Arabidopsis thaliana: one gene and its partners. The protein of the gene in region 3 interacts with the protein of the main gene of each other region in a pairwise test. Each region holds a gene or a part of one and is shown on either strand. Other genes may lie near its edges.

Region 1 (6,672 bases), on a different chromosome or scaffold from region 3:
GATGAGCTAGTAGAAGTTTATGTTGTGTGATATAATCTTAGGAGATTGTGGTAATCAAAATGGGCTAACTCCTTCAGCTAAAGTAATTTATGAATTAGCTTAGTACACTTCGTTTATAATAACTCGAATTTAAATCATACAAAGAGTTAAATGATTTTATCTTACTATTTAATATTAAAAAAGTGATACATTTACCAGACGTTATAGTTAAAACAAAATCTAAATAAAATAGTTTTGGAATTCTAAATTTACACCAATGCACAACAATAAATTATATTGATCTAAAATCATGGAATGATCATAGTCTAAATTTATCCCATTTGAGAGATTTAAGAATAAAAAATTTACACACATTAGTAATAAGTAGTTAAGTATATTTATTCGGGACAAATTTTCGAATTTACCAGACGGTTAAATCGTTATGGTGATGTTCTTCGAAGCATACAATTTTCGTAGATAATTTAACCTCGAGAGTGTAACAATTTGATAAACATCATTTTGTTCGTTTTTTCCAACATGGGATACATGCTTTCTTCTACCATTAAAGTATGGGCTCGACGTTAAGCATCATCTAGTTGAGCCACTCTTATCCCTAGCTTATTTTGAATTTGAGTTGGATGTTTTGTCACATATGATATAGAAATCTATTATGGTGACATTGAATTCACCTTGGAGACCTTAAAGAAAAGAAAAAGAAGGAAAAAAACTTCTCCACTGTCACTAATTTGGTCCGGATCAAAGATAAAGTGTAGTGGTGGACCGATCTATATTCCAACCAGGGATATATAAGATGTAAGGTGCATACTCAAAGAAAATATTGTCAATAATTGGCTGTTTAACTGTGATTAATATATAATCGTACTCAGTCAAGAATTGGTTGTTTAAAATTAGTGGAGATATTATTTCTTATAACCTAGTTAAAAGTTGAATTTGAATATTTTTTTAGAGTTCATACGACGAACATTATGTATTTGAAATGAGAATAATAAGCAATAATAGATAAAGAACGATAGAATATGACCATTGAAGAAATTGAAAGTAGATGGTATGATGAAAATTGATGAGCATCACAAGATAGGAATATGGAAAACATAGTGGAGAAAAGCTAAGTTATATTCCTTCCTTGCCAATATCTCCTTCTTTTACACCTTCTTGTATCTTAAAAGAAAATAATAATAACTTAGTATTCACGACACTTGTCCAAATTCTTTACCCAAGATTCCTTTGTTATGCTTGTTTGTTTTTTCCTCCAAAAGTAATGCAAATTTACATTAGGTACAAACAATCTCATTGTTAAAACTCATTGAAAGGATATAAGAAAACAAATGGGTCCAAATTATTTTAAGAAATGACCAATTGTCAAGCGCAACCAAAATTACGGTTATCAATCTAATTGACTTATCTTGAAAATATAATACGTTACATTTCCAATATTCCTTTTTTATTATCAAATTACGTTACATGTAGTCGTAGACTTGAGCACTAATTAGCCGTTGAATCAAAATCTTTAACGTGGTTCTACTACGATGCTATCATAAAGTCTATGTCAATTTATCAACAAAATATACATTCTCGAAAGAAATGTTATCATGAATCGTTTTTTAGTTTTTTTTTCCTACGACTACAAGTACAGCTACGCAAAGTTGCAAACCACTCCCCTCCATACACATTAACTTGGACTAAACCCGATGATCATACAATGTCACAAATTTTAGCGTTACTACATTAGTCTTAACATTTTCTAATATTTGCAAATGTTCCATCCCTAAAATGGATGGTAGTTTTAATTTCAAAGCCTTTTTTTACACTTTTTTGTTTGGTATTTGTTTTAATTTTCTCGTATGTATAAAATTTGCTTAGCTTTAGCCTATCTTGAATTCTATCATCGCATATTCGCATGGTTATATTATATCTTACAAATCGTGTGACCCAAACTCTGATTTTGGAAAAATTCTTGGCGACTTCCCTAATGTATTACATAGTCTAAAGAAAAACTTAAATTTCTAACTCAAATAGTATTTAAATTTCCTCAAATAAGGAGCAAGTAGTGTATGGAGCCAATAGCATTGAAGAAAATGCCTAATTTTCTAAAGCATATGTGCAACAAAAAAAAAAAAAAAACATAATTGAACTCTGGTTAGTTTAGAAAACAAAACAAAAAAAAAAGATTATTTACACAACAAATAGTAAATTTTAAATGCTCATTTAATATTTCTTAATATAAATAAATGCTATAAAGAGAAAAAATGAACAATAAAAAGAAAAGAATCCATAATAAACAGTCCAAATGGCATTTTTTTCCAAAATAATCATTAAATTCCTTAAACATTTCCCCACAATTTGATAATTTTTAAATTTTTATATTTTCTCATAAATTAGTACATTGAATTTAGCTCATAAAAAAGGAAAAAGAAAAGTGGAGGGTGAAGAGAAGAAGAGAATCCAGCAACGTTTCTTTATTTCCTTTGTGTTTTTTTTTCTTCATAATCTCTCTCTTTTTATTTATTCATAATTTTTACTCTCTCCATTTCTTCATTACTCTTCTTTTTATTTTCCGGAGATTTTTCTCTTTGCCTTTGTTATTTGCTGCTTTTGCTGCAGCTACAGTGTAAGTTTGATTTTCTGGGTTCCTTCAAACTCCAAAATCTCGCGTCGCTTTTTGCTTCAGAATCGATTTGTTCTTGTTACTTCGATCTGTTGTTCTTTTTAACTCTGTGCATGATTCAATTTCGTGTTCGTAACCTGTTTTTTGCTGCTTGTTTAGTTCGACAATTAGGTAAAAAAATGACGATCCCTAAAACTTATGATCCTTTTAATCTTCGTTTAGCTACTTCGTTCGAGATCATCTAGGGCTTTTGTTGCTTCATCGATTTTGGGTTTTGATTTACTGTAAATGTTTTGGTTTTGTTTATGTAATCTAAGCATGTACCAATGATTCATGAGTGATCATGTTTGTTATAGGAGCAGAACTGATGTGAAGTGTGTATTTTGAATGTGTTTTTGGTTTTGTACAGAGAATCTTGTGTTTTTGTGGTGGGGAGGTGAGATTTCTTATGACGGGGAAGCGATCAAAGACTAATTGCAGATCTGCTTCTCACAAGCTCTTCAAGGATAAGGCTAAGAACCGTGTTGATGATTTGCAAGGCATGCTTTTGGATCTTCAGTTTGCGAGGAAAGAGAGTAGGCCTACTGATGTTACTCTTCTTGAGGAGCAAGTGAATCAGATGCTTCGTGAGTGGAAATCTGAGCTCAATGAGCCTTCTCCAGCTTCATCCTTGCAACAAGTATGCTTTCGTTTGTTTCAAATTTGCAATCTTGTTGTTTCTTCTGACTTGCATGGGTGATTTAGTTTTCTTTGTTGTTTCAGTCATTGTTAGCTGTGTCATTTTGTTTTGCTTAAGCAGGGTGGTACTCTGGGGTCTTTCTCATCAGATATTTGTCGGCTGCTGCAGCTCTGTGATGAGGAAGATGATGCTACCAGCAAATTAGCTGCCCCCAAGCCCGAGCCTGCTGATCAGAATCTCGAAGCTGGCAAAGCTGCTGTCTTCCAAAGGGTGAGTTGCTCTTTAGAACCAGTTTTTAATGGTGCTTTAGTTGTGTTTGGAGTCCATTATTTTGTTTAAATACTGAGATCGTGGTGAAAGTTTTCAGGGATACAATTTGGTTCAGGGGAAGTCAGAACATGGATTACCATTGGTTGATAATTGCAAAGATTTGTCCTTAGCAGCTGGTAACAATTTCGATGGAACGGCTCCTTTGGAGTATCATCAGCAGTATGATCTGCAACAAGAGTTTGAACCAAACTTCAATGGTGGTTTCAACAATTGTCCCAGTTATGGTGTAGTAGAGGGTCCTATACATATCTCTAATTTTATCCCGACTATTTGTCCTCCACCCTCTGCATTCTTGGGTCCAAAATGTGCTCTTTGGGATTGCCCTAGGCCAGCTCAGGGATTTGATTGGTTCCAGGATTACTGCAGCAGCTTCCACGCTGCACTGGCTTTCAATGAAGGGCCACCAGGTATGAATCCGGTGGTGCGTCCTGGAGGTATCGGCCTAAAAGACGGTCTGCTTTTTGCTGCTCTTAGTGCAAAGGCTGGAGGGAAAGATGTTGGTATTCCCGAATGTGAAGGAGCTGCAACTGCTAAATCTCCATGGAATGCTCCAGGTAGGCTTTACTCTCTTGGAATTCATTCACAAGTATGTTAATTGATCACCATTCTTGAGCTGATCATACTCAAATCTTGATGACTGTAGAGCTCTTTGATCTCACGGTTCTGGAGAGTGAGACACTAAGGGAGTGGCTATTCTTTGACAAGCCAAGGAGGGCCTTTGAGAGCGGGAACAGAAAGCAAAGATCTTTACCAGACTACAATGGTCGTGGTTGGCACGAGTCACGTAAACAGATCATGGTCGAGTTTGGAGGGCTGAAGAGATCTTACTACATGGATCCACAGCCTCTGCACCATTTCGAATGGCATCTTTACGAATATGAGATCAACAAGTGTGATGCTTGTGCCTTGTACAGGCTCGAGCTCAAGCTTGTTGACGGGAAGAAGACTTCAAAAGGCAAAGTCTCAAACGACTCAGTGGCTGATCTGCAGAAGCAGATGGGAAGACTCACAGCTGAGTTCCCTCCAGAAAACAATACCACTAACACCACCAACAACAACAAACGCTGCATCAAAGGAAGACCAAAAGTGAGCACAAAAGTCGCCACCGGGAATGTTCAGAACACAGTAGAGCAGGCAAATGACTATGGAGTAGGTGAAGAGTTTAACTATCTGGTCGGAAATCTAAGCGACTATTATATCCCCTGAGACGAATGTGGAAAAACTCAGGTTTAAAAAGCTGTTTGCTTACCATTTAATTAGGCAGCAGCAGAAGAAGCTTCTACATATCGTAGGGCAAAGTAATGGATTTTCATGACTCGTATCTTTTTTTTCTCTTATATAATAGTTCTCTGTCTATCTATGGAGATTATGTATATATAACAAGAAGTGGATGCTGAAGACTGTCCTGGAGTTAGGAATAGTAAATGTGACGAAGGAGACTGCTTTTTAAGATTCAGTCTATGGAGGTGAAGACATATTTACTGACATTCCGGTTTATATATTTTGATGCATTTTCGACTCTCTTCTGCGATATAATGCAGATGACAAATTATGTAACCGATGGGGAAATACGGTTTTGAGTATCAGTGTTGTTCTTATAGAATCAGGACCTTGTTCAATGAGATCATTGCTCTTACTTAGTCTATGTTTCAGATTTGGGGTTTTGTTAATAAAAATTCTCTGCAGAGCTTCAAAATCTTAAGCATCGTTTCAAGAATCATGTAATCACGTTCTCACTCTTCTTAAGATATTTGCATATCATAGACGCCAAGTGTTACAAGCAATCAATCAAATCATATTCTACATATATTGTACTAAAATTCATCTAAAGAGAGACAGGAACTTCGCTATGCTTATTGTGGCAATAATGGTCTGACCAATGCAAAAGGACGATCTGAATTCACAGACATTAATAATTCCAACACAACTACTTTTTTGGGAGGGTGACTCTTAAGACCAGGCTCAATCAGCCCTGCAAAGCAAAGAATGACACAACACATAATCAGATAAACTTAAAAGGATACGAATAGCATTGAATTTAAGGAATTGAAAGAAGAACCATGGTGTGTTACCAGGCTTGAGTTTTTTTCCTCCATAAAGTTCTCTAGCTAAAGGATTAGCAGCCCAGTGATTCACAGCCACCCGGCTTGTCGGTTGGAACCCTATGATTTTACCTTCGGATGATAAAACTACCTGCTTCCATTAAAGAACCAGACGAAGATGAAGTAGTAGTCCACTTAAAAGAATTCAATTCATCATAATTCACTGGAATTACCTGGTAAGTAGCGATATCTTGCGCAGATGCCTTTGCGTCTTCATTGAGTATTTCCAGAAGAGACGAGCTTGTAACAATGTGATCTTCAACAGACTTAGCTCTGCTGGTTTCTTTCAAGTAGTCAGGTACTTCCCCTATCCAGGCACCTATGCTGCTTTCTAGTGTGATCTCCCCTACCCAGCTGTAGGCATCCTTGAGCTTGTTGACGAGTAATCCGCAGAATGAATCCAACTGCTCATTTGAGGTTTCAGAATTTAGTTTCCGAGAAAAACAGGAAAAAGCACCACAAAAAATAATAAAAGGTTGATCTCATTCTCTCATTCTCAGTATAGAGAGTCCATACTCATGCAAAAATTATTAACCAAATAACATTAGACATGAAATATATATAGGTCTTGGATTGTCTTTACTTTTTGGATGGGTTAACTTATTCATGGCAAGGGATTTACAAAAAAAGGCTGCACCAGTACTTAATCTTATGTGATCATCAAATGAACTAGAGCTGTCCTGAAAAGCTATTAATGTCTACGTGCAATTGTTGTCGTACACATCTATATGAATACAACGTGTTTTGGTAATCCATACCTCAGAGGAATCTGAAGATTGATGAGATAACAATTCACTCTCTGACCATAAAATCTCTTGGCGTTTTCCGGGATACTTCCTCTCGCTTTTCTGAGGAAGACAGAATTGGGCTGCAGCACTCACAGCAAGAAGAAAAATTCCACTGGCCATGGTGACAGATATGAATTTCAACAAAGACAATCCTTTCTGTCAATAGAG
Region 2 (5,848 bases), on a different chromosome or scaffold from region 3:
TTAACAAGAGCCATAAGCTACTGTTCATTTTGTGTCTACTCGAGCATTAACCCATGATTTCATTTTCGACAATGTGAAAGTGTAGCAAGTCAGTAGAAATTTTAAAAGAGAACTACATCAGAAATGTATTGAAGAGAAGATTTCTTACCGCCTTCTGGTCCAACGATTAATAGTCCGCTGGATTCTTTTGCTGAGGAGTTTACTGCATTAAGAAGAGGTTTAGCTTCGGCTGTAGCAACCAAACATAACTTTGACTTCAAAATCTAGAAAACCCCAAAAGGTGTCAAAACAAGTTTAGAAGAACAAAAAGTCAGAAATTTTATAAACCAAGGATCTTAGAGTTTGCGTAGAAAAATGTTCAAACATACATGATCCAAGAGGGTACCAAATTTGATTGGAGGGTTCAGTACCATTTGATGAAGTCTTTGGCCTGTGACAGTGAAAGATAAGGCAAATAGTTTCTGATCATACAACTATAATGCGAAGGAAAAAGAAGAGCAAGATTAACCAACCAATTGTTTTCTTTCACTATTGCTACTTACATTGCTTAGCTGCAGCAAAACTAACGCGTTCCAATCTATCGACCCGGTTTTCAGAGATTATGGGTGATCTTTCCGTTAAAAGTGGTGTGACACTGCTCGCTCCGAGTTCCTAAGACGAGCATATACACATATTCAGTGACACAATATTCACAGGTGATTTAGACAGTTACATACTAAAAGTAGATACATACTGTACATTTCTCAATTAGCCAATCCGCTCGACCACCCTTCAAAGTTCCTGACAAGACATTTTCAAAGAAATCATGACTCAAGCTGAGCCAGAGACTATAACATCCGGCGATATCGTAAAGTTAGGTTGAAGTCCTATTTCATACCAAAAGCTGCAAACACCTGCCACTGCATGCCCTGAGGAAGAATCACCTTCTGATCTTCTTGTGCGATAAAATCAACTCCAGTTTTGTCTATGCTTTGTATACAGCCTTCTACTAGACCCCCTTTGCCATTAAAGAGTTCTACCCTTGCAAAGAAAAGGGGTGCAAGTCATTACTTACATTCACTTAAGGTTTAGTGATCTTAAACTAAAGAAAAGGTTGGCCTCCTCTCACCTCAGGGTTACTTTTGATGCTATCATTACTTAAACAACTGAATTCCTCATGATAAAGATGCATAAAAATGAAAGGATGGATCCAGATACATTACAAACATCATTCAGATAGGATAAAACTTTTAGCAACATGGATACAAGCAAACAAAAAATGAACAAATCAATTTTTAAAAGGGCCTTTCATGAATGCAACACTGGAAAATGACAATAACATATATGAATGTAGTAATTACCTGTCCTCCTGTTTCAGTCTAAGAACTTTAGCCATATGCCAAAACTCAGAGCCTTGAACACGAACAACTCCACCCTATAAACAATCATAAAACGATTTACACAAAGAGGAGCTTATCATTTCAAACAACAAGAACATTTAATATTATCATTTCACCATGATTTTACCAGAAATTTCTTAGAGATTACAGTGAATTACAGTAATTTCTAAACTTCTCAGTGATTACCCTCACTCTCATTTCGATTGGATTCTTACACAGATTTAAAGGGAACAAAAATTATATGAGATAAAGATAGAGATAGATAGGGTGTGTGCCTTGCGAGATGGAAGATCATCGGAAAAGAATCGAGGAAGGCCACCGCGAGATTGATTCCGGAGATTCAAATCCGACGGAGGAGACGAAGATACAGTAGCAAACGATTTGAAGCTAGAAGTCGGAAGCCATGAACGAACGAGACTCGGCAAATCGGAAAACAGTGGCCGTGAAGCCGCCGCTAGCGCTCTCATCATTTACTCAAAGCTTTGAATTTTTGGTTACCATTTCGAAGATTTTGGTTAATACTAGTTTCTTATCGTTTCGGTTTACTTTAAATATTGGTCTGATCCGGTTCAATTCTAATTAAATTCCGGTTCATTTCCACGCAATTCAAGGAATTTTGCTATTTCAAAAATAAAGAGAAACGGTCAGAAAGCGATTGCCAAACAGAATCTAAGGAATCAAAATTCAAAATTAGAAAATACGCAACTCACGAGGATATCAACAAATCGTGGTTTTAACGACAACCCAATTACATCACTACACGTGTATCATACGTGCCGTTACATACAGATGGATACTTTCGCTTATAAATATAGCATCAAACAGCTCTGTAAAAACCTAGAAATCGAAAAAATCAGATCTAGATCTAAAAGAAGAGCGTCTTCATAAACGCCCTTCTTCTTCTTCGTCTTCTTCCCTGCAAATCTAGTTTCTAGATCTTTTCTTTCTTCCGCGAAACGAAAATGAGAGAGTGCATTTCGATCCACATTGGTCAGGCCGGTATCCAGGTCGGAAATGCTTGCTGGGAGCTTTACTGTCTTGAACATGGCATTCAGGTTCGTCTCTTCCTCTTCTATCTTGATCTGTGTTTTTCTTCATATTTTTCGTATTTTAAAAGATCAAATCTGAGATATTTTTGCGCAGCATTGACCTCGTAGATCTATTTTACGTAATCGTTTAGATCTGTGTTTGATTTCGACGTCTTATGAAATTTCTGTGGTTGATGCGAAATCCGTTTCTCATTTCTAAATTATTCGATGAACCTGGATAGATCTGTGTTTGAATTGGATTTCATGTCAGATTGCTTTTGCTGATGCCATATCCGTATTTGTTTTATAATATTGGGTGAAGGAAAACTTTGCTTTATTTGCTTAAAGAGATGGCGATTGATATTTGCGATATAGTTGAAGCATCTCGTTGTGATTTTCTCTTTTCATCGTTGCTTCTATATGTGTAGATCTTTTCGTTTTATATGTCTCTTTGTATTGATGTGTTGTCTTGGATGTGGAATGTTACAGCCTGATGGCCAGATGCCGAGTGACAAGACTGTTGGCGGAGGTGACGATGCTTTCAACACCTTCTTCAGTGAGACCGGTGCAGGGAAGCACGTCCCACGTGCTGTCTTTGTTGATCTTGAGCCAACTGTGATCGATGAGGTCAGGACTGGTACTTACCGTCAGCTTTTCCACCCTGAGCAACTCATCAGCGGTAAAGAAGACGCAGCTAACAATTTCGCCCGTGGGCATTACACCAGTAAGTTACTCCTTCCCTTGTTTCTTCATCATCAACCATATCTTGTTGAATTTACTGTTCATTCACTGATTTACTTTTGAAATCTTATTTCAGTTGGGAAAGAGATTGTTGATCTGTGCTTGGACCGTATCAGAAAGCTCGCTGATAACTGTACTGGTCTCCAAGGATTCCTCGTCTTCAACGCTGTTGGTGGAGGGACTGGATCTGGTCTTGGATCTCTCCTCCTTGAGAGACTTTCTGTTGACTACGGGAAAAAGTCCAAGTTGGGTTTCACAGTTTACCCATCTCCACAGGTCTCCACCTCTGTTGTTGAGCCTTACAACAGTGTCCTCTCCACTCACTCACTCTTGGAACACACTGATGTCTCTATCCTCCTCGACAATGAAGCTATCTATGACATCTGCAGACGTTCCCTAAGCATTGAGAGACCCACCTACACCAACCTCAACCGTCTCGTCTCTCAGGTATAGAGCCAGCTTCAATCATTTACATCAGTCAGTCTTTTTGCTGTTTCGTTTCTTATGTTTAACTCTCTCTTGATGGTTTCAGGTTATCTCATCCTTGACTGCTTCTCTGAGGTTCGATGGTGCCTTGAATGTTGATGTGACTGAGTTCCAAACCAACTTGGTCCCATACCCAAGAATCCACTTCATGCTTTCCTCCTATGCCCCAGTCATCTCCGCAGAGAAGGCCTTCCATGAGCAGCTCTCGGTTGCTGAGATCACAAACAGTGCTTTTGAGCCAGCATCCATGATGGCAAAGTGTGACCCTCGTCACGGAAAGTACATGGCTTGCTGTTTGATGTACCGTGGTGATGTCGTCCCCAAGGATGTGAACGCAGCTGTTGGCACCATCAAGACCAAGCGTACTATTCAGTTTGTGGACTGGTGTCCTACTGGATTCAAGTGTGGAATCAACTACCAGCCACCAACTGTTGTTCCAGGAGGTGATCTTGCTAAAGTCCAGAGAGCTGTGTGTATGATCTCAAACTCCACCAGTGTTGCTGAGGTGTTCTCCCGTATTGATCACAAGTTTGATCTTATGTACGCAAAACGTGCTTTCGTTCACTGGTATGTGGGTGAGGGTATGGAAGAAGGAGAATTTTCAGAGGCTCGTGAGGATCTTGCAGCATTGGAGAAGGATTACGAAGAGGTTGGTGCTGAAGGTGGTGACGATGAGGATGATGAAGGAGAGGAGTACTAAGAAGGTTGTCGGTTTTATGTGGGATTTCTATTATCTCGTGTTTGTGTGAATAGGCTCGAAACTCTTACGAGTCGTACTTGTGTTTTCAAAAACCATATTTCTATCTCTTGCTTGTGGCGGTAGCCATTTGTTCTAGTTCGTTTGTTTCTGATAATATTTTCATCTCCAAGAACTGAATTTAAGCTGGGTTTGGTTTAAATCGATTGTCCAAAATCTAAACAAATAGAAACGTCAAATTGTTATTTGAGTGGTGAAAGATTGAAATTTTTGGAACAGAGAAGCAATAGAGAAGCAACGATTCTTTTTACAACCGTAAGGAAAATAAATAAAAGGAAAGGCTGTAAATAAAAATATATACTTAGAGCAAATATATGCTCTACACTAGTTATGCAATAAAGAACAACTTGTTGCCTGCTAATTTAGACGAGGATCCATCCCTGATATCCTCTCATCCTCCAACAGAGCATATGGATCGATGTAAGGTGGTGGTGAAACCGGAGTTCTACTTCCATCATGAATGAAATCTGCTCCAAAGTACTATCATTTCAACAAGAAAAATCAGTTTATGGTAAGAAACCTTATCAAATCCATAGAAGAAAGGAACCTTAAAAACTCATTCCAAAACACTTTCTACGGCGTGCGAGAAGAACGTGGAAGAATACTGATAAGCATAAATGTGAATAGGACTTGGGTTGGATCAGAGTTGAGGGTCTTAACTAGGTGGTTGGTTGGAAGAGCTAAGAGGTCTCTTTACAGTCTCCAAAATACATTTGCCACTTTCTTAGTATTCAAGGACTAGAATGAAGAAAAGTACACTCCTTGATCTTATTAAATACTTACAAGGTAAAGAGCAGAGAAGGCGCCGAGAGTTAAGACTATCAATGGCCAAAAGCCCAAGAAGAAAGTCCCTCCAATTGTCAGCAAGATCCTAGCACGCGGAATCAACCCCTGAAACAACAATAAGCAGTTCCTTTCCAAATTTAACAAAACAAACTCCTAAAATCAACCTTTATCATAACTACATAAGCTGCTAAGAACTATCCGGATACAAAAGAAGGCAATGAAACATAATTTCAAGCCCTACAATAACTGACTATGAGAAACTATAATAATTAGAGGGTACTAGTGATAATCTGACCTCAAGCCCTTCGCTGTTTAAAGCCAAAGATCTCTCTCTCTGATTTAACAAGCTTTTATCGAAGGCCGGAGTAGTTGCAGTCGTTTTAGAGCTGTTTCCGGTTTCTTTACCGGTTTTGATCTCATCCTGATCCACTTCATAGTCTTGAAGCAAGGAAGTAGGAGTCATACCACGTCTCTTCAATTCTTTCATAAATAAAGATTCTGGAGGTTCTTCACCTACACAACTCATACAAATCAAACTCCAAATTCAGGTAGAGGAAAATCTAAGTAATGAATACACACCATTACAAGAAGAAAGAGTCCAAGTAAAATGGATAACTTGTATATTAAAACCCCTTTTTGACTTATGAAAAGAGATTCAAGAAACAAGATTG
Region 3 (5,925 bases):
TAATGAAGATCAAAATAACCAAGACAAAAACTCAAAAGTAGTTACGTACATAAGTATTGAGCTGTCTAACAAAGCTGGAGAAATTATTGTGCTTAAAGCATCTAGGGAGGCAAATTAGGGCAAAAGTCTCTGGTTCCCAAACAATGAAGCTGTTGTTGTCTCTGCTCCATGAAACTATGTTGTTTGTGCTTGAATCCTCCACTATGTTGTATGTTTTCGTCAAGAAAGCCGTTGGTGGCGTTTCTTTGAGACCCTCTAATGGAATTGGAAGGTTATAATCCATTTTGTGAACAAAAAACCTATATAAATTTGAGCTTTTTTAATAAAAAAAGAGAGAGGAGAGAATAGTTGTGATGAATAGCTGAAGCTTGAGGATGCTTTTATGCTGTCTATATTTTTGGGGTTTAATATTTTTGGATAGAAATGTATTGCTTTTGAGTGTTTTGGATAAGTCTATTTATTAGTTATCTTTGATGTGGACAAAGCCGATTTGCTATAAATGGAAATGAGAGATCATAGTGTCATACATTCATTGGAAGATGCTACTTTTGTGTTCTTTTGTCTTCTATGAATATCAGAAAATCTAAAATTTAATTAATCATTATAAATTTAGTGACTATGCTCCAACATTTATAAGCTTCGTTTTCGCCCATGACACGTTGTAGTGAATGCATAGAGATACGTTTCGTGGTTTGTTTGTTTATTCTGAAGTCAGAATGATGGGATTTTTGGTGGAACCCTTTGAAAGATTTGTGTAGAGAACAAGAGTATCCTTTGAAAATTTGATTGATCCTTGATTCAATTGAATTGGGTTGGGGGAAAACCAGATCTAACCACACCAAATCAAACGGTTAAGCACGACACAAGCAGAATTATACATTATATATATATATACAATTAATATATTGATAATGCATAATTTTAAGAAGATTTTGTAAAGAAGAGGTCATTTCAAATATAAGAAAATTTATGCTTTAACTTTTGAAGTACACTAACACTATATAAGTAATAATACTTGAATTACAGTTTGGAAAGCTCAAATAATTTATTCGAAAATCGTAGGGTTTTTTTAGTTATAAATTTCACGTTCGCAGCTGACATTTGTTTTTTAATGATACTTATTAGATAAATACACACTATTTTTTTTATGTATAAAAGCATACATCGCAAAAGTATGTTACAAGAACAACTATCCAGAAGGAGCCGCTGTTTTTATTTTACTGCTTAAGACTAAAGAGTAAACAATACATACAAATTACACAACAAGCATATATTAATATTGTTAATGTGCTTTAACGGTTTCTCCAAACTTGTAGGTTAAGCCGTGGATATACTTTTTCCTAACAGGATGTTCTTCCTGTGGCCGGTTATATGGTGTCCAAACCGGTTCCCCCACGAACAGCCTCATTAGCTGCAAAACCAAACCACCATACATCACAAACCAACAATCAAATCTTTTAACATAAGATATTAAGATGTAATATTTCATTTGCGTATTCATATAAATTAGTAAATTAGTATAGAGACTGAGTTTGGCTTTTTGTACCTTGATGTAGTTGCTGGCGTCGAGTGTGAACCGGTGGTAGATTCCGGCAGGAAGGACAATGAGATCGCCAGGTTGCATCCAGATACGGATCCAACGATCATCCTTGTCCCTAACATCAAAGTAGCCACTTCCTGCTAGGCAGTACCGAATCTCTTCGTCCTTGTGAATGTGTTCTGTGAAAAAGTTCTTCAGCTTTTCTTCGTAGTTGCTGACTTTCTCGGGACACAGATCCAGCAAATCCTAAAATGAAGATTAACCAAAGTAATCATTCTGCTTGAGAAAATTAGTTTATAGCTCATAAGTTACAATGCTACACACCACACAAATAGCTTAATTATTTTTAACGTAAACCAAACGTTTTAATGTTCCCTTAATACTCAATTACAGAGAAGCCTTCTTCCTTAATAAGCTGGTTTCTAAAATGTTTGTAGTCATACTACCCCTTAATGGTTATGCAAGATTATAGTCCTACTGTCCTATGATACATGTTTTTTTTTTTCATGAGATTAGCGTGCAGAGATAACAAGTAAAGGAACTGAAACATCAATAGCCGCTTATGGTGAGCATGAGTTAAAAAAGGGTGATCAGAAAGACATAAGCCGTAGCAAATCCTGTACTCTAATACTCATAAGGCTTCTTTCTTCATAGGCTGGTTTTGTAAGGTTTGAGTACTACCTTCATTATGTAGTCCTACACTCCTACTGTGTCTAGTATATGTCACAATCGTTAATCTCATGAGATCAACATGCAACGATATGCAACAAGTTAAAAAACAGAGACATTCAATTGGCATTTATGATGAGCATGAGTGTTCCTAAGTTAAGAAAAAACAGTGATCAGGAAGAGATAATATGCGTACCATGTAATCGTAACCCCTGTCTTCTCTAATCTTGCTAAGTTCAGAATCATTCTCGTAGTTCTCAGGGTTCAACTTCCAGTACAACACTCCCAACTCTACAAAACACAACAACTATATTTGTGATATTTGCATAATTTATGATTCTGTTAAATCTCATCTTGGGTAAATTTGACCATTTCCTTAGTTTTAAGACGGTTTACGTTTAGTTTCCTCATGTAGAATCACTACTCAATACAATAAAGCATGAAAGATTGATGTTTTTCAAAAGTTGCAAAGTAAGAGTAATTTTTAAGGTAGAGAATTGAAAAGACCTGCCAAGTAATCCAACGAGACGAGTTCTTTCGGGTTACGATGATGAGGAAGTCTCTGGTCCTCATTGCTATCATCCATAAACCATGCCTGCATCAATCAACACTTAAGCCTCAGGGAAAGAAAAAAATCTCAAGAAAAAACTTTTGATTCAATTTTCAATTTCAGCTGCAAAACGGTAAAATCAAATCCCAATTCTCAGTTCTGCCAAAATCAAATCAAATCCCCAAAATAATTCCGAAAGAGCAACGATAATCACTATTGAACGAATCGAGATTCGAAATCAGAATCTAGAACCTATGAATCAGAACTCACCTCGAGAGCCATTAATGATCTTCGTTGTGTAAATGCTTTTTTGATTTCAGACTCATCAGAGTGATGAAGATCAGATAAATAAATGGCTATTTCCTCCGTCGATGATAGCCACGTGTACGATCACTTTAATTCGTATTATTTTCCTTTCTCCTAATTTTTATTAATTCTGGTTTCGAAATTCTAATAATAAAAAATCGTTATTTTTTCTTTTGCACGAAAAAAACAACCGTTTTCGAGCCACAATGATCATGAATGAATAAGACCAAAACATTGGCTCATTTGTATGATATTGTATTTTCTGAGGTTCATATATTTCCATCTGATTTGAACTAGAATGATCTATATTCAGATATATAATTTATATTTCAAACTTGAAATTAGTTTTAACTAGAAAAAAAAAATGTAATCCAAAATCGTACATAGGTATATATATTTTTTTTCCACAAATCGTACATAGGTAATGAGGTAATGTTTAACACTTTAACTTGGGCCGTGTAATACAAATTGGGCCGTTTAACACTTTAAATTAGTCTCGAATGTTATATAATGTTTTTTTTTTTTTTAAATTGGACTAGAGAAAAAGTAGTCTAGTATGAAGTACAAAGCCCATTCCTTGTACCCAGCAACAGCATATCAATTTATTTTTTTGCTAAGAGCATATCATATCATATCAATTTTTTTCTCTTCTATATTTTAATTTTTAATACTTCTTAGTCATAAATCTTTTGACCATTTATTATTAAATTTAATCTGAAACACAAAGTAACTTTCTTACAAAAATTCAAATCTCCAATTATTTTGTTTGAATTTAAATATTTTTTAAAATTCCAAAAAATCTCATATATATAGGATCTGACTTTGTTTAAATATAGAGAAATTTAACTAGACTATAATAAAAAGACTTCATAAAATTTATTACCCAAAATTAGAAAAAATCAGGTTTCAATACTGAAAATAGACTATGAATATATGGCCTTATGATTGTAGTTGTTATATTCCATGCACACATAAGTAATTTCTTTCTATTTGATTTGTTTTTTAAAAAAAAATATTTAGAAGTTTAAATTTAAAGGTCTTATATTTTTTAGAGATGGGACACAAGTTAAATTTATATTCTTTAGAAAATAGATTCTTTTCAACAGACGTTTAATCCAATATCTACATCTGGAAGATTTATCATTACACCAACCCCAATAATATAAGTAATTTAACATAAGTAATTTTTTTCTATTTGATTTTGTTTATGTGCTCTTTAAAATTAACCAAGATTTCAACGGCCATACTTCTTATAACTTTTAATAATATCTCTACTCACCTCATTCTCATGAACCCACCAAACAAAAAAAGTAAAGAAAAGAAAAACTAATAAAGAACAAAAAAAATGTCCTCTTCTTCATCAAGAAACGCCTTTGAAGATGGCAAATACAAATCAAATCTCTTAACCTTGGACTCATCATCTCGTTGCTGCAAAATAACACCGTCTTCTAGAGCTTCACCGTCTCCGCCAAAGCAGCTGTTGGTGGCTACGCCGGTGGAGGAAGGAGATTATCCGGTGGTGATGCTCCTCCATGGTTACCTTCTCTACAACTCCTTCTATTCTCAGCTTATGTTGCATGTCTCTTCTCATGGCTTCATCCTCATCGCTCCTCAGGTTCAATTTCAATTTCCAATCATTACATTAGTTCAGGAACTAATTAGCCACTGAAATTCTTGTTTAGTTTTAGATTCCTATGTGTATTAGTAATTTAGTATAGAAATTATTTTTTGGGGGGTCAAACTAGTGTATAGTTTTTGTTTAATTAGTAAAATGTTATGAGTTATTTTTATGGAAATGGTACTATCGGAATTGTTAAATCCAGTGTATAGTTTTTGTTTAGGGATTTAGTATTAGTGTAGAGTTTAGAAAAATGTAAATTCGCTACAATCTCGTTCCATTCCATTTTGTGCAAATATTGCATGTGACTGACTACTTGGTCCTTTGAGGTTTAGTGTGAATGTTCATGAATATGTAGGTCCATGTATTAAGATATTCTAGTTGAATCCAAAAAAATCATAATAAATACATATACATTGATTTGTTAGGACTTATAGGATTTAGGATTTAGGATTTAACCAAGATGTATCTATAATTCAGCTGGATGCATGGAACACATTATGCCACGTTTAAATTAGTTATTTTTCTGAAACTTTTCTTTTATTATTGTTTGGCTCTTATAAGAACCTTAGACAAGAAGAAAAGTAAGAACAAAAATGCATATCAATGGGTCCACTTGATGTGTTTATCCTGTTTTTGTCTCTAGAGTCTCTCGAATTTCTAATATCAAATGTTAACATTTTATTTTATATGGTTGTAAATCAAATTTCTTGGCTATGTGATATTATAACAGTTATATAGTATCGCCGGACCAGACACAATGGATGAGATTAAATCAACGGCGGAGATTATGGATTGGTTATCAGTAGGACTTAATCACTTTCTTCCAGCGCAAGTAACACCAAACCTATCCAAATTTGCCCTCTCCGGCCATAGCCGCGGTGGCAAAACCGCGTTTGCGGTCGCCTTAAAGAAATTTGGGTACTCCTCGAATCTAAAGATCTCGACATTGATCGGTATAGATCCAGTCGATGGAACAGGGAAAGGGAAACAAACCCCTCCTCCGGTGTTGGCTTACCTTCCAAACTCATTTGACCTAGACAAAACGCCTATACTTGTGATCGGTTCGGGGCTTGGTGAAACCGCTCGGAACCCATTATTCCCACCGTGTGCACCTCCCGGAGTGAATCACCGAGAGTTCTTTCGGGAATGTCAAGGTCCAGCATGGCATTTCGTTGCGAAGGATTATGGGCATTTGGACATGCTTGATGATGATACAAAAGGGATTAGAGGGAAGAGTTC
Region 4 (6,277 bases), on a different chromosome or scaffold from region 3:
TTAGTATCCCCGGCAGAAGTGCAATGAAAACTTTCATGAAGTAGTGGATCTGCCTCTTCTGAAGAAGATCCACCTCAACTCCGGCGTTGCAAATAGTCTCAAACAAGTAAGGATCTAAGGGAATGTCAACCTAGAAATAAAAAGGATATGACATGGTGAATGTACATCATTCATTTCCAAATACTTGCAACTATAATTTTTTTACTTACAATATATTCTAGAGGGAAACCTTCTTTCATGGTCACATACAATCTCTTTAGGTCTTCCGTGAAAACAACAGCTGCAACCTGTTATGAACACATACACAGATTATCGTGCCAACATAAGCTAAAAAAAAGATCTATCATCCTATCACGTCCAGCTTCAAATTAATTGCTTTGGAAAAGGAATATATTCATCATATTTTAACTCATAATGAATATACCATCACTTGTTATCATTTAAAAAATTCAACTGGATATAATGACACTTGCCACTCACAATCCCAAAGCCGGACAAGAGTATAGGTTAGAGCTGTACCTCAGAAGAATCAAGCTTCTGAAGGAAGTAGGTATAGGGAAGCTTAGGGCGATATCGCCACCATCTCTTTGATATCCAGAGAGCTCTAGTTCCCTCAGTTTCAGATGTCCTTCCAATAACATCTTCGCGAAGACTTTTCTCTACCTCTTTCATATCAAATTCAACCACATACTTCGCCGCTGAGGAGTTTAACTGTTCTGATAATTTTTCTCGTTCTAACATTTCCTTCCAGGTTGCAAGCCTTTCCCGCCAATTACCTACACTGTCTCCAATTTCACCTATCATAGAAGAATGCAATAGAGGATTAGATGGTCAAAAGCACAGGTTACCAATGATAGTAGATGAGGGATCTAGAAGTGCTGCTCTGAAAGAAACTTGATTAGTGAGATAAGATTAGGTCGTCAAAAACAAAGGTTTCGCACAATAAATCACTTCTTGTTATATCTTCAGCATGCCACTACTAAACAAGTATCACCTAACGAATGTATACTGACCAGAGACACCCAGATCTTGGCTTAGTTTCTTCTTTGCCTCTGTCTGAATCCTAGCATTTCTACCAATTATTTTCTTGAGAGATCCCTCTGTGGTCTCTAGATCGTCATCCCACGCATTTTCTCCAACATAAGAACTATCGTGGACAAGTGTTCCATCAGGCGCTTCAATGAACCTTTTTAATTTCAAGCCTTTAGGTGTTGCTTTCCTCCACATATTTCTCTTGAACCTGAAACACTAGAATAAGTCAGGACATTCTACAAAATCAAATAAACAGAAGTTCTTTTAGTCTTCCCACTCTTGACGCTTTAGATGCCTCATTAGCTGAGTATTTACTTGTTAAAGGATGATACCATAGTTTGAATATGAACCATATTTTACCATGTCCCAGTAGAGAAAATTACAATCGGAAACTGAGGATTAGGAAGCACCTACTTTTCTATATTTCCAGGAGATGGCTCGGGGATCAAAGCCTCCATAAAAGACTCTGTTAACTCTCTTCTCTCTCGTTCTACCCGAGGAGCTTGGATGGCAACATAAACTCTTTGACAAGAAAGTAACAGCGCAAAAGCATATATGAACAAGGCAGCAACTCGTTTACCGTCCCAATTCCTGATGTCCTGATACAATACATCTTCCCTCATTAAGAAACAACCTAATACACTAGTATATGTCGCTAGAATAAGCGTAGTTGTAGTCTCCTCCAAAATTTATGCTTCCGTTAAATCAACAACAAAATAAATAAATACCATACGTTTGTCCCTCAATGTTTTAGAACACAAGCAGAAGTCTAACAATACTTGAGAATCAGAAATTTGATAATTACGTTAAAAAGCTGAACCAGCTTACCTTCCAATGCTCCCACTTGTTCCAATCAATAAACGAAGGCACTGTCTCATTCTTAAAGCGAGTCAGCTCGTGATGGCCCTTGTGCACACTATCCTTAACTCGAGCCACATACTCATTCACTCTCCCACTTGCTTCTTCCGAGTCAAACCCAATTTCTGTCTTCACAGATTCTCCAATCTTCTCCCCAATCCGCTCGGCACCAAGGCGAATAGACTGAGCCAATCTCACCCACGAAAAGCCTCCATCGCTATTAGATGAAGACCCACTACTACTTTCAGACGCATAGACTCGAAAGAGCTGTTTTTTCCGGGTAGCTCCCAGTCCATACTTGGCGGGAAACCGAACAAGACCAAAACTTTTTGATCTTTTCAACAACTGAGTCGATGAAGAGATAAGCGGATTCGGTTTATACGAAATTGCAATCTCCATGAATGAAATCACAAGAAAAAAATTAAAAAGAGAACAAAACCAGACGCATTTGAAGATTTTTCCCGATTAAAGAGCTCTCTCTGAGAAAATTACTGAAGGAAAATGGTGAGTACCAACCATTCAGCTCACTCGACTCTCCGGCAAGACTTACGCTTCTCTCCGGTAAGGAGGTTTATCTACACTGATCCGTCGTTGAGAGTGTCCTAATACTTCGAAGGAGAAAGATGACGCTTAAACTCAAAGAGGCTCGAAGCCTATTAGTTATATAATTGGGCTAGCCCATTAAGGTCCATCAGCCCACTATCCGAAAAATAATATATTTAAACCGTGGAATCCAAGGAGAGACACAGTGGCAAAAAGGGTAATTATAGGGACATTTCTTGGGGTGTTGTCCAAGCTGCTTTTATATAAGGAAGGGATATTGTTCTCTCGCTTCTCGAAAGATCCATTCACCAACTCTTTATACCAGCCTCTGTAACGTTCGATCATCTTGTATTTCATTTCAACCACTCATGTAAGTATATTCTTTCTTCAGATTCCGATTGTTTTCTTCGATTAAGTTTTGAGCTAGATTCTCTAGATCTGTTTCACCGATTTGGTTGATTTCTCCGTCAATCTGAACTCGCGGTGTGCATCTTGTTGTTTGCAGTGTTTTTAGTTTGTTTTACGAAGAATCAACTATGGCGACGAAGAGAAGCGTTGGAACTTTGAAGGAAGCGGATCTGAAGGGAAAGAGTGTGTTCGTGAGGGTTGATCTCAACGTTCCTTTGGATGATAACTCTAACATCACCGATGACACCAGGATTCGTGCCGCTGTTCCCACCATCAAGTACTTGATGGGTAATGGATCTAGGGTTGTTCTCTGCAGTCACTTGGTATGATATCTTATCTCAGTTCTCACTTCACTACTTGCTTATCTGTTGTAATTTTGGTGTGGGAATTTTGATCTGATCTGTTTATCCGGAGAGCCATGCGTATAAGAAGAGTCTCTTTGCATGTTAGGATGTAGATATAGTATTCTTGTTTTTCAATATGTTCATTGACTCTATCGGTTGATTTTCTGGTGTTGTTTGGGTAATTGTTTTAGTAAGTTTACTTGGATATGTTTATACTCAAGTTCAATTGGATGATGCTGTTGAATTAATGGATGTATCTGATCTCAATTTATGTTTCAGGGCCGCCCAAAAGGTGTTACTCCTAAGTACAGCTTAAAGCCTCTTGTGCCCAGATTGTCTGAACTTCTTGGTGTTGAGGTTTGTTCCTCTTCCTCTTCTAGACTTGCAAGGTTTCTGAACATTAGCTTTTAAAAGAACACTGTTCTCACTCTGTTTGTGTTAATAGGTTGTAATGGCAAATGACTCTATTGGTGAGGAAGTCCAGAAGTTGGTTGCAGGACTACCTGAAGGTGGTGTTTTGCTCTTGGAGAATGTGAGGTTCTACGCCGAGGAAGAGAAGAATGATCCTGAATTTGCAAAGAAGCTTGCTGCTCTTGCCGATGTTTACGTTAATGATGCCTTCGGAACTGCTCACAGAGCTCATGCTTCCACTGAGGGAGTTGCCAAATTCTTGAAGCCTTCAGTTGCTGGTTTCCTCATGCAGAAGGTATTTAAAATTTGCAGCATAAAGAGTATCTTCTTAGATGAGTCTCTTTATTTTACTGATCAGACTATTACTTGTTTTATTGTGTCAGGAACTTGATTACCTTGTCGGAGCTGTGGCAAACCCCAAGAAGCCTTTTGCTGCCATTGTTGGAGGCTCAAAGGTTTCAACAAAGATTGGTGTCATTGAGTCTCTCTTGAACACAGTTGACATCCTCCTGCTCGGTGGAGGTATGATTTTTACTTTCTACAAGGCACAAGGACTCTCAGTCGGATCTTCCCTTGTGGAGGAGGACAAGCTTGACTTGGCAAAGTCACTCATGGAGAAAGCAAAGGCCAAAGGTGTCTCTCTCTTGCTCCCAACCGATGTGGTTATTGCTGACAAGTTTGCTCCCGATGCTAACAGCAAGGTAACTATCACAGTCATTGTGGTTGACTCTCAATGGGCCATGTATGAAAGTAAAACATTTAAGCGTCTGGTCTGGTCTCTTTAAAGCTGACACATATGACTCTTGCAGATAGTGCCAGCCACTGCCATCCCTGATGGCTGGATGGGTCTAGATATTGGTCCAGACTCCATCAAGACATTCAGCGAAGCTCTGGACACAACCAAAACCATCATCTGGAATGGTCCCATGGGTGTGTTTGAATTCGATAAGTTTGCTGCTGGAACTGAGGTATGAGCAACTAAACACATATAAACACAAGTTTTAGTCTCACTTTTGTCTAAATCCATTTGTCTTCAACATGTTTGTTAATCATCTGTCTTCAACATGTTTGTTAATCGGAGAAACCCAACTTAACTAACCCAATCTCTTGTCTTGTTTCACCATCAGGCCGTAGCAAAGCAGCTTGCAGAACTAAGCGGAAAGGGAGTAACCACAATCATTGGAGGAGGTGACTCTGTTGCTGCCGTCGAGAAGGTTGGTTTGGCAGACAAGATGAGCCACATCTCTACCGGAGGCGGTGCTAGTTTGGAGCTTCTTGAGGGTAAGCCACTTCCAGGAGTCCTCGCTCTCGACGAAGCTTGAAAATCCTCACGTTGGATTTCATCGCTATTTTGTGTTGTTATATGTATAACAAGTCGTCTGGTTATCTTGTGACCAGACGAGCAAGCCATTATTTATCAGCTTGAGATTTTCGTCTACGGCTCTCTTTTTATGAGTTTTTTAGTTTGGAGCCTTTTTTTAATAATAAGAGATGAAACTCTGATTGACGACAAAAAAAGAAAAGAAATGAAACTCTGATTAGCAAACTCCTCCATACTTCAACCAATGATTTGTCTCTTGCCTATAATTGTCCATTTAAAACGAAACAAGATCGTTGGGACGCATAATTGGCTTAACATGTTTTAGAAAAAAAAAAAAAAAGAAGATTCGTATTCCATCTTATTTGTTAACAACTAAAGGAGATATAAAGAAAATTAGAACACCTTTTACTAAAGAATACCGTGTGTTCTCTACGCTAAGCGGCATACACCTATTTTTGGAGGAGCAACTTCATATGAAGTCCGCTCCATTAAATCATCAGTTCGATAATTCTTAGCTAAATAGTTTCTATAGAGTCGATTGTTATTGAGTTCTCATTAGACAAGTTAAAGGCCCAGAAATTGCCCAATAACGACAAATAACGACATCAGAAATCGTCCCACATCGGATGGAACAGAAAGTAGATGTGGAAGGATTCACATATAAAATGCATTGGTGCACTCACTTCAGAAGTTATGGAGCCGTGTGGTGAATACAAAGCGAACTATTCTTTCGCCTTTTACTAAAGAATACCGTGTGTTCTCCACGCTAAACGGCATACACCAATTTTTGGAGGAGTAACTTCATCTGAAGTTTGCTCCATTAATCCCTCAGTTCAATCTTTAGTTGATTAACCATTAGTAATAGTATACAATTACTTGACAGGAAAAAATAATGAGATTATCTGACCAAAGATTGATGCCGGTTCTGAAGTCTTCAGGAGCGGTTAAGTGAACCAAGTGCTGGGTTCAACTCATAGCGATTATAGATCGATTTGTTATTTATTTGTTGATAATTTATTTCGATTATAGAATCCATTGAAGATCGATTACTCAACGGAAGGTTATCAAGTCAGTTAGTACTGCGGTTAACTAGTGGGTTACTAAACTCAAAGTTATGATACTTATTAGACGTAGCTCGTTTAGTGTGATTTTGAAGAGATAAGAATATATATTTGGCATTATTAGTTAGAAGATTTATGAATTTGTTTGTTTTTGTATTTGCATTTTTCGGTTTTCTAATTCTAATATGTAGGAATCTGATAGAAGATTTTATTCTGTACCCAAAACCGAGACGTTCCACTAATTCTCGATACCGGTTTACCCACTAACCGGCTGAAATCGATCCAGACTTTGCTCCGAT

The links.
Region 1: the proteins of ARD4 (region 3) and VOZ1 interact in a two-hybrid assay, tested with the Arabidopsis thaliana proteins (one large-scale study listed by BioGRID).
Region 2: the proteins of ARD4 (region 3) and TUA2 interact in a two-hybrid assay, tested with the Arabidopsis thaliana proteins (one large-scale study listed by BioGRID).
Region 4: the proteins of ARD4 (region 3) and PGK interact in a two-hybrid assay, tested with the Arabidopsis thaliana proteins (one large-scale study listed by BioGRID).

The regions. Positions count from the first base shown.
Region 1 is NC_003070.9:10,026,660-10,033,331, forward strand, and holds VOZ1 (vascular plant one zinc finger protein), read left to right. Parts: upstream 1-2,423; 5' UTR 2,424-2,608; exon of another isoform or gene 2,609-3,014; 5' UTR 3,015-3,053; coding exon 3,054-3,284; intron 3,285-3,404; coding exon 3,405-3,554; intron 3,555-3,651; coding exon 3,652-4,168; intron 4,169-4,257; coding exon 4,258-4,820; 3' UTR 4,821-5,331; downstream 5,332-6,672. Other genes in the region: AT1G28530 (deneddylase), read right to left, coding at 5,468-5,586, 5,687-5,807, 5,890-6,120, 6,475-6,660. UniProt on the Arabidopsis thaliana protein: Transcriptional activator acting positively in the phytochrome B signaling pathway. Functions redundantly with VOZ2 to promote flowering downstream of phytochrome B (phyB). Down-regulates 'FLOWERING LOCUS C' (FLC) and up-regulates 'FLOWERING LOCUS T' (FT).
Region 2 is NC_003070.9:18,515,396-18,521,243, forward strand, and holds TUA2 (tubulin alpha-2 chain), read left to right. Parts: upstream 1-2,190; 5' UTR 2,191-2,341; coding exon 2,342-2,434; intron 2,435-2,436; exon of another isoform or gene 2,437-2,896; coding exon 2,897-3,131; intron 3,132-3,224; coding exon 3,225-3,595; intron 3,596-3,680; coding exon 3,681-4,334; 3' UTR 4,335-4,605; downstream 4,606-5,848. Other genes in the region: AT1G50000 (methyltransferase), read right to left, coding at 149-263, 369-430, 543-651, 734-780, 878-1,020, 1,341-1,414, 1,655-1,849; AT1G50020 (tubulin alpha-6 chain), read right to left, coding at 4,749-4,871, 5,175-5,282, 5,473-5,690. UniProt on the Arabidopsis thaliana protein: Tubulin is the major constituent of microtubules, a cylinder consisting of laterally associated linear protofilaments composed of alpha- and beta-tubulin heterodimers.
Region 3 is NC_003076.8:17,626,082-17,632,006, forward strand, and holds ARD4 (RmlC-like cupins superfamily protein), read right to left. Parts: upstream 3,283-5,925; 5' UTR 3,042-3,282; coding exon 3,030-3,041; intron 2,805-3,029; coding exon 2,717-2,804; intron 2,501-2,716; coding exon 2,406-2,500; intron 1,787-2,405; coding exon 1,547-1,786; intron 1,412-1,546; coding exon 1,283-1,411; 3' UTR 1,051-1,282; downstream 1-1,050. Other genes in the region: HSFA6A (heat shock transcription factor A6A), read right to left, coding at 50-283; CLH2 (chlorophyllase 2), read left to right, coding at 4,411-4,680, 5,417-5,925. UniProt on the Arabidopsis thaliana protein: Catalyzes 2 different reactions between oxygen and the acireductone 1,2-dihydroxy-3-keto-5-methylthiopentene (DHK-MTPene) depending upon the metal bound in the active site.
Region 4 is NC_003070.9:29,922,988-29,929,264, reverse strand, and holds PGK (phosphoglycerate kinase), read left to right. Parts: upstream 1-2,628; 5' UTR 2,629-2,803; exon of another isoform or gene 2,804-2,938; 5' UTR 2,939-2,969; coding exon 2,970-3,164; intron 3,165-3,464; coding exon 3,465-3,542; intron 3,543-3,630; coding exon 3,631-3,891; intron 3,892-3,979; coding exon 3,980-4,297; intron 4,298-4,405; coding exon 4,406-4,564; intron 4,565-4,723; coding exon 4,724-4,918; 3' UTR 4,919-5,242; downstream 5,243-6,277. Other genes in the region: FTSH12 (FTSH protease 12), read right to left, coding at 1-130, 210-287, 520-797, 1,014-1,240, 1,447-1,631, 1,861-2,289.